2 linked regions of the Tribolium castaneum genome follow. The protein of the gene in region 2 binds, or shares a complex with, the protein of the main gene of each other region. Links are inferred from orthologs where the notes say so. Each region holds a gene or a part of one and is shown on either strand. Other genes may lie near its edges.

Region 1 (3,281 bases), on a different chromosome or scaffold from region 2:
GAGACGCGCTGCCACAGCCGAAGACTGCGCCCCTCAAGCACCTGTGAAGAAAGAAGCGTCGATCGACTCTACCTCAGCGCTTTGGCATCCTCAAAACGTGGCAAAATCCAACGACAAACACTCCTAGTCATCAACAGTGACTACTTTGGCACCGAAAAAAATGCCCTTCAGGTGCAGAAAGGCGACGTTGTGGTACTCCAGGGTACCCATGTGCCGGGGTGGTTCTGGGTGCGCAACAAGGAGGGAGAGGAGGGGTTCATACCGGCGGTTATAGCCGGACACGGATTTTTGTAAATAAAAGTTGTACAAATTATTTATTAAAAATTTATTTCAAACAGTTTAAATTGTCTTTTAATACAGTCCTGCCAACTTAAATATGAAATTTGCGATTTCACACAATAATACGCCAATTTGAGCACTCAAACTTGGCCATACTGTAACTTAATTGTTCTTAAAAAAATAATAAGGGTTATAAACGATTTGGGGTCACATTCGAGCGATTTTTGACTCTTTAACGGTACCTTATCCTAACCTAAAGAGCATCAATGACAGCTGTCAAATTCAAATTCTGGACGAATTATTTATGGTTTATTATTTTACTAAAGACTTAATACAGAGATAGTTGCAAATTTTTGTAGATAAAGTTGCTACAAACGTCGATTTTGGGGCTCGACCCCGCAATGCACAAAGTCTGGAAGGGCTCATCCTGATGCACCGCACTGTACGTGGTCACAGGAGACGTCGGAATTTCCGTGATAATGTCCCCGTTAAAACTCATTTGGTAGAATAAATTAGAGCGCCCCCCTGCGAAAATCCTGTCTTGGTAGACCTCCGCCACATGAATCCCTTTATCGTCAATGGGGAACACTGTGGCGATATTCAGGGAGCGCAAGTGCCATAAAGACAGTCGGGGGCCGCCGCCGCACAACTAAAAAATCATTTAAGGGGGGCCACTTCGCCCAAAATTGCTGACATACCAGCCAATCATCGTTAATCCCAACGCCCCCTATCCAGGGCCCCAGCTCCACCCTGGCCACTTTATCCCTACTGTGGGGCTCGATTTTGCTCACTGGGGGGCCTCCTCTCACATCCCATAGCAGCACAAGCCCGTCTTCGCCCCCCGAAACCAGTTTATTGTTACTGAAATGCCATGTGACCAAAGTACAGGTTCCTGTAATCACTTACCAGAAATTGATGCAGTGAACGTAATTCTTGTGCCCTTTAAAACACCGCACTTCTTTTCGTGTCTCGATGTTGAAAACGTAAACATTATTATCGCCACAGGCGGCAAATAATAAATTATTTTCGGGCTCAAACACTAAACAATTAACGTCAGGTTTGTCGAAACTGTCTTTGGAGTTCGGGATTTCAATTGTCCACGAGCAGGAGGGTTTTTTGCTCGTTTTGACGTTCTTCCAGGAGTACCCCAAAATCTCGCCAACTGTCCCCACAACAAGGAACGCTTTCATGGTCAATAAACTGTTGATTTGGACGTCTTCTTTAATCGTGAATGCGTTTTTGGGCAGTTGGTCTTCTTTTGTGATCGAAGATCCTTGGTTTGTTAGCTTGGAAAGGCTGGAACTGGGGTTCAGGGGGCTGCTGGAAGTTACTTAATACTTACTGGAAGACCGAAATTGTGCCGTAAATGTCACCTACGACGAGATAGTTGCCACACGGGGTGAAAGTCTGGCTCAAAACAGTGTTATAGAACGATTTATTCAACTTGTTCACCATTTTGAGGTTAAGAAAAAATAACTTTTTGTGAATTAAACGCACGTTTAATAGGCAATATTACTGTACAAAGTCTGGTTTTATTACCAATTATACGATTACAAAGGGCGCAAACGTGTATTTAACATAAATACAGCCCCAAACATTAAACAATATAACCTCAATCGACTTAATACAGGCAACTTAACATGCAACGCGGTTAAGTTAGTTGCATACCTAACTTTATTTATGTTTTTTTTATGTCATAATTAAACATATTATACTATAAACTCTAAAACAAACGTAAAAAATATACCTTAAAACGTACACATATTTGTATAGATATAAAAAAAGAACGAGAAAACGCAGATTTAAGTGTTAAAAACGTTAAAAAAATCTCAGTTGAGCTAGTGGTGTTGTGATGAGCGTGCAACCAAGTAAGCAGCAGTTTGTTTAATCGTTTATTTTTCACTTTTTTACAAAACCAACGTCTAAAAATAGCCGCAAACATCTATAAGTTGTGTAATTTCACGCTTTACTTTGCTACCGCACATTTATAGCCAAACACTCGTTATAAAAAAAATATCAGCAAAAATAAACATACCGCTTGCGTATGGCATCCTTCGGAGTACATTTTTTAATCTGAACGGTTATTATTACAAGCGAGATCAATAAAATTACGTAAAGTAATAAACCCACCAAAAATAAAACTAATCTCCGTGTGCGTGCAATTGACGGTTTTTGCTTGAAGAGCACTAGACCCAAAAACAGGCCTGCGAGGCCCCCGATCATGTGGGCCCCCCACGATATCAAAGGCTCCTTTTTAAAATTGGCATGTAACACGTTGTAGATAATGTCGAAAATGACGATTATTCCGATACACGCAGATCTGTAGATTTTGTAATTCAAGGTTTCAAAGTTCTGAAAAAAATTACAAAAATGTTGTTTCTCGCTCGCTTTATACCTACTAGAAAAATATCGGAAATGTGCGAAATTAAAAGCGCATACACGCCCCCGGAGGCCCCAATGACCAAGTCGGGGTGAAAACAGGCCGCTCCCAAGACTCCGGTGATTCCCCCGGTCACGTACAAAACAAGAATCCGCACGCTTCCGTGTCGCGCTTCTAAAAAATAGGCGAAAAGCACTTGCATGAAAATATTGAGAGTCAGGTGGATCCAGTCTTCGTGCAAAAGCATGTAGGTGACGAATCGCCAAATTTCGGTCAGTTTGTGCGGTTCGAAGCGGAGCAGTTTTTGGGTTTTTTCATCCGAGGCAGCGTAGAAGATTATCTGGTGAATTACCATAAACATTAGCTAAAAATAATGCAAAAATCTGGTTTACCTCTAAAACACTGACTGACAAAATACCGAAAGGTGTGTTTCTTGCCCAAGCGGCCCATTGCGACGATTTCTTCACTTCTTGTGATAAGGGAAAGGGGATAAAAACTTGCTCGGTTTCGATTAAGGGGTCGATGGGGTCGGTTAATTTCACTTGGATTTTTTGCGACGGTGGCATAATTAAAATTTACCAAATTTGGGTCGAAAACTTAATTAATTAAAATTGTGTGTGAT
Region 2 (4,356 bases):
TTTTTTTATGCCAGAAAAAAATTAGTAATGTTAAACTTAAGGTTGTTGCGCTCTTTGGTAGTCAATTCTGAAATCAACGTTTGCAAAAAAGCGTGAAATTTGAGTTTTGACATAAAGTTGAGGTTTAAAATATGATTTGAATTTAATTTTTAGCTTACCAATTTTTTCAACTTATTTTTCAATAAAAATCGTTTTTTTTTTTAAAATATCCCTTGGTTTTCCACTGTAAAAAAACAGGATTCAGTGACGAATTATATAGTAAATTTTCGCATTTAATCATTTTTAAAATCCTCTTGAAAATATCAGTTTATAATCGAATATAGTGCGGTAAAACTTTTATTAAAATAGTGGAGTGTTAAGAGCGTAACGAGTTTGGCAACAAAACTGTTTACCTAAATGAAATTCAAAGCAAAACACAAAAACACTTCATTTATGTTTGCGCAGTTTTAATAACGTTTAGCGGTGTTTTATGCCTCGAAACAATTACGAAATAATTAATCTAATTTTTTTATTTTTAATAACAAAGCTTGCAAATTTATATTTTTTGGGGGAAATACATCAAAGCTAGATGGAGCCACTTCTGGCGGCGCATTCAAATGGCGAATAAATCCCCATGCCGTATTTTACTTTGTCCCAATTGTCTCAGAACGTTTTAAAGTCGGCGTTTTCTTTTTGCGGCATAAACCGTCTGTCTAGAAAATTAAGAAATACCTCGGTGAACTAATTCGCGTAAAGTCGTGCGGAAAGCTTTTCGTTCTCTTGTATAATGTGTTTTCGGACAGGCGATAAAATTTTATCGTCGTCCAGCAATATTTCCTACGTGTGATCCTATGTAGTAGTTCTGACGCGACACCTTTTTTATCATCTTGAGAACCCGTCCACATCCTCGATAACCAATACAAGAGAAACGTGCCACTGCAAACCTGGTCCTTAGCAAAATGGATGAGTAGTCAAGAACATCCAAGTCCTATCTTAACACTGCTCGATTTTATACCTGGAGAATTTTACGAGCGCTCGCGTGTAAACAACACTTGGAAGGAGATTGAAAAATACTACAAAAAACTATTAAATTACGAAGTTTACACGATTAGAATAGCTCCTGTTTATTGGGCCAAGTAATTATTCGGGGACCGATAATTGCTTTAATTCGGGCGGAAAGCGGCAAGAAGTGCGCGATGTTTAATTAAAGCAGGTAAAAACGCGTTCAAATTTCGCGCCATTCACAATTCACCCATATTTAGTGAAATAATCACGAAAATCGCCCTTAATACAATAGTGATTACCATTTACAGTCTTGATATTAAAAAGTGCGATTTTATTTTTTTTAATGTTTTTACACGAACGACAAGTCCGGTACTCTGAATGATTATATAACGACCCAAATGTTACATAATCCGATTACGTAACAACTAATAATTGAAATTATCCAAATTATTTATAATATAAGTCGCAATGTTTGGATTTTGATTTAAAAACACAGAAATTAATTCGTTTAAACCAAGATGTGGTGTCCTGAAACAAAATGGCGTCTGTTGTCTGTCAGTTTGCGCATTTCTAACCTCAAATTTTTTGTCGGCTTGTTTACATAATCTTTTTTGCTTAAAAAAATGGTTAAAGAGTCAAGTAGTTTGAAAAAAAAGCGCAAAAGTGGGACTAGTGCCGACAATGAGGCCGAAATCGACATTTATAAAGTAATTACGCCTCCCTAATTTTGGTTATCACATTTATTGATTTTTTTGCAGAAATCGGTCGAATTTGAGGAGAAAGAGGCCCTCAATCGACCGAACGATACCGACGCTCAGATTTACTTCAACACGTGCAAAGAAATTCGGCATTTATTCGCCGAAATAAGTGAACTGAAAATGAAGAGTGGGTCTGATGTAAATTGGAATTTTGTCGCTTTTTTGTATATTTTTTGGGTGTGCTTTGTAGGTCAGGGCTAAAATTACGGAAAAAACCACCGAAGTGTGTCTATTATTGGTGCTTTTGAAAAAACTGAACCGCATGGAGAAGGTGCGTTTGGTTTTTCCAAAAGAACAATTGGCTGCGGAAAAACAAAAAGTGGACAGTATTAATTTACAATATCAGAACTTGTTGTACGAGGCTAACCATCTGATGTCGGAATATCGCAAATGTTTCCAGTTCAAGTAACGAAAACCCCCTTTTTGTGTAAACCCCCCAAAAATTTCTTTCAGGTCTAAAGACGAGCACATCGAGCTGGTCCCCGTTGAGGAGTTCCTCGCCGAAGCGCCGAAAAATTTAACGACAAAATTCAAAAAAGTTGGTTTAATTTTTTTAATTTCAAAAACTTTAAAAAAAATTTTAGTTTGATGAAACCGACGAAATGGCGAAGCACGAGCTGCGGCTCGCGCGCCTCGAGTGGGAGCTCCAGCAGCGTATTCATTTGGCCGACATGTGCAAAAAACTTGAAGAGGAGAAGAAAAAACTAGAGGGGGATATTGCCGAACGTCGCAATAAATTGGATAAATTGGGGCCCCTCTTGTCTTCGGTCATGGAGGCCACGAAACCGGTGCAGGAGCACCTGGGGCTCCACATTGACAAGATCCAGGCTGAACACAAGCTTGCCTCGCTTCTACCCAACCCCCTTTACTTGTTTTATGCCAATATTGACGCCTACAGACAGGTGAACGACTCGGGGATGAGTGTGGAGATTATGGGGGACCAGGAGGAGGCTAGTCAATGGAAGGAGTTGGAGTTGGCAGAGGATGAAGAAGAGGAGGAGGAGGACATGGAACCGGAAGCTGAGATACAGGAGGTGGAGGAAATTGTCGAAACGAAGAAACGGCGTCACCGGAAGTCGGTACATGTTGATCCACTTGAGGAGAAAAAACGCAAGTTGTTACAAGTTCACCCGCTTTCTGTACAAGTTACTGTCACTACTAAAGACGGTCCTTCAATTAAAATTCGACTAAGTTATTACGCAAAATTGGAAATCGTCACTGTATCTTCAAGCGTCAATATTCCGAGCAATATTACAGGTACTTGACCCACTATCTACAAAAATCCTCTTTTAGACAAAAAAAAACGGATAGTTACAGGTATTTTGTGAATGATAAGGAAAAACAACATAAACTACACCTTTTTTACTTGGTTTGTTTTCCGTCTCTATTTACAATTGAGTCATGTCCTGTTATTATCGGAATATGCTGAAATTTTGCATACTCACGTAATATCCGTGAGCGTGAGCAGCAAAAAATTCTTCTCGCTTTTAAAGGGAAAATCATACTTTCTTACTTTTTTACTATAATGGAGGAAAAAATGCAAATTTTTTTTAGTGACCCCCGAGTGTCTTTCTTACAGGAAACGCAGCTCGTGAGGTCTTATCAAACGAAAGCGTCCTCGTGGAGCTGGTGGAGGGCGACTTCGGGCTGGACAGCCCCAACCCGTGCACCCCTTACCAACTGAAAAAAGTCGGCTTGGGGTCCTTCCAAAGCCTCGTCCCAGAGCTTGGCTACGTCTACACGTGGGCGCAAAAAATGTGCGGCATTGATTTTTTGAATAAAATGTCCGGTTCGGATCAACTGAGCCAAACTAACGTCGAGTCGGTCATGAAAACAATAAAAAAGCGCCTAAAGTCGCGGTATGCCTTGGCGAAACAATTGGAGGAGTTGGAGCGGAATGTGATTCCTGTTTTGCCGGCTAGTGTCGATTTGCCGCGAACCACGATTTCGAGTCTTACGAAATGGTCATCAGGGACGTATCAAAGCTTTTGCGAGGCTAAATTTACGGAGGGTTTGCTAGAAGCTGAGTTAATTTCGCCGAATGATATTTTCTATAAAGCGACAATCACGCGTGATAAAGGTAAGTTTGGTGAGTCACGTGATTAATTAGTGTTTTTTTTGTATTTTAGCAAATTTGCAAGCTTTTGTTGTTATCAAGAACGATTATCCGTCAATTCCACCAATTTTTGCGCTTTGTTTGAACTATAACGGGACTAGACATTCGCAGAATGATGATAATATTCGGGTTTGTTGGTAATTTTGGGTTTTTGGGTTGGTCTCACTCGTTTTACAGGACATGGAACGGTCGATTAATGTCGATTGGAACCACGAATTTTCAAATGCAAATTGGCTTTTGTCGGCCCAGATTATGTCATTGTGTGTCGGACTGGACATTTATCTGGAAACGGAGGACCCTGGGACGTTTCAACAGAACACCATGTATATTAAATCGACTTGGTAGGGATTTTGAGTTTGTTTTTTGGGGGTAATTTTGGTTTTTCAGCGCCAGAAATAGGAGAAAGCCGTTCAAATTCAGGAATATTGGGGTTGGGGTCTACACCCAATGAGTTTTTTTTTTTGACAAATAAATGAGTTTTTTGAATCGTGTTGTGTT

The links. The genes of interacting proteins can lie anywhere in the genome.
Region 1: the proteins of thoc5 (region 2) and thoc6 are in contact, whole or in part, in a cryo-EM structure (PDB 7APK), measured with the Homo sapiens proteins. The link is inferred for Tribolium castaneum from reciprocal best matches to the Homo sapiens genes THOC5 and THOC6. Residues at the interface, in NP_001002877.1 of Homo sapiens: Pro406, Gly407, Asp538, Ile539, Val540, Asp541, Ala542, Gly543, Leu544, Ser575, Ile576, Ser593, Asp596, Arg599, Glu602, Gly603, Asn606, Val607, Tyr609, Arg660, Phe662, Arg663, Gly664, Pro665, Ser666, Arg667; in NP_001334633.1 of Homo sapiens: Val5, Pro6, Ala8, Val9, Pro10, Leu11, Gly12, Gln13, Val16, Phe17, Leu20, Gln21, Leu23, His24, Met25, Thr26, Phe28, Tyr45, Tyr80, Asp94, Glu125, Val126, Pro127, Glu128, Asn130, Gly146, Tyr170, His172, Glu188, Trp222.

Annotation. Positions count from the first base shown.
Region 1 is NC_087395.1:25,800,698-25,803,978, reverse strand, and holds thoc6 (THO complex subunit 6), read right to left. Parts: upstream 1,916-3,281; 5' UTR 1,735-1,915; coding exon 1,622-1,734; intron 1,576-1,621; coding exon 1,186-1,575; intron 1,141-1,185; coding exon 978-1,140; intron 929-977; coding exon 608-928; 3' UTR 576-607; downstream 1-575. Other genes in the region: uncharacterized protein LOC103314375, read left to right, coding at 1-294; protein rhomboid, read right to left, coding at 2,296-2,631, 2,679-2,999, 3,052-3,225; DNA oxidative demethylase ALKBH2, read left to right, coding at 2,132-2,147. UniProt on the Homo sapiens protein: Component of the THO subcomplex of the TREX complex which is thought to couple mRNA transcription, processing and nuclear export, and which specifically associates with spliced mRNA and not with unspliced pre-mRNA.
Region 2 is NC_087399.1:3,176,366-3,180,721, forward strand, and holds thoc5 (THO complex subunit 5 homolog), read left to right. Parts: upstream 1-1,508; 5' UTR 1,509-1,607; coding exon 1,608-1,691; intron 1,692-1,742; coding exon 1,743-1,880; intron 1,881-1,932; coding exon 1,933-2,147; intron 2,148-2,195; coding exon 2,196-2,280; intron 2,281-2,326; coding exon 2,327-2,999; intron 3,000-3,321; coding exon 3,322-3,822; intron 3,823-3,871; coding exon 3,872-3,987; intron 3,988-4,035; coding exon 4,036-4,199; intron 4,200-4,245; coding exon 4,246-4,309; 3' UTR 4,310-4,345; downstream 4,346-4,356. UniProt on the Homo sapiens protein: Component of the THO subcomplex of the TREX complex which is thought to couple mRNA transcription, processing and nuclear export, and which specifically associates with spliced mRNA and not with unspliced pre-mRNA.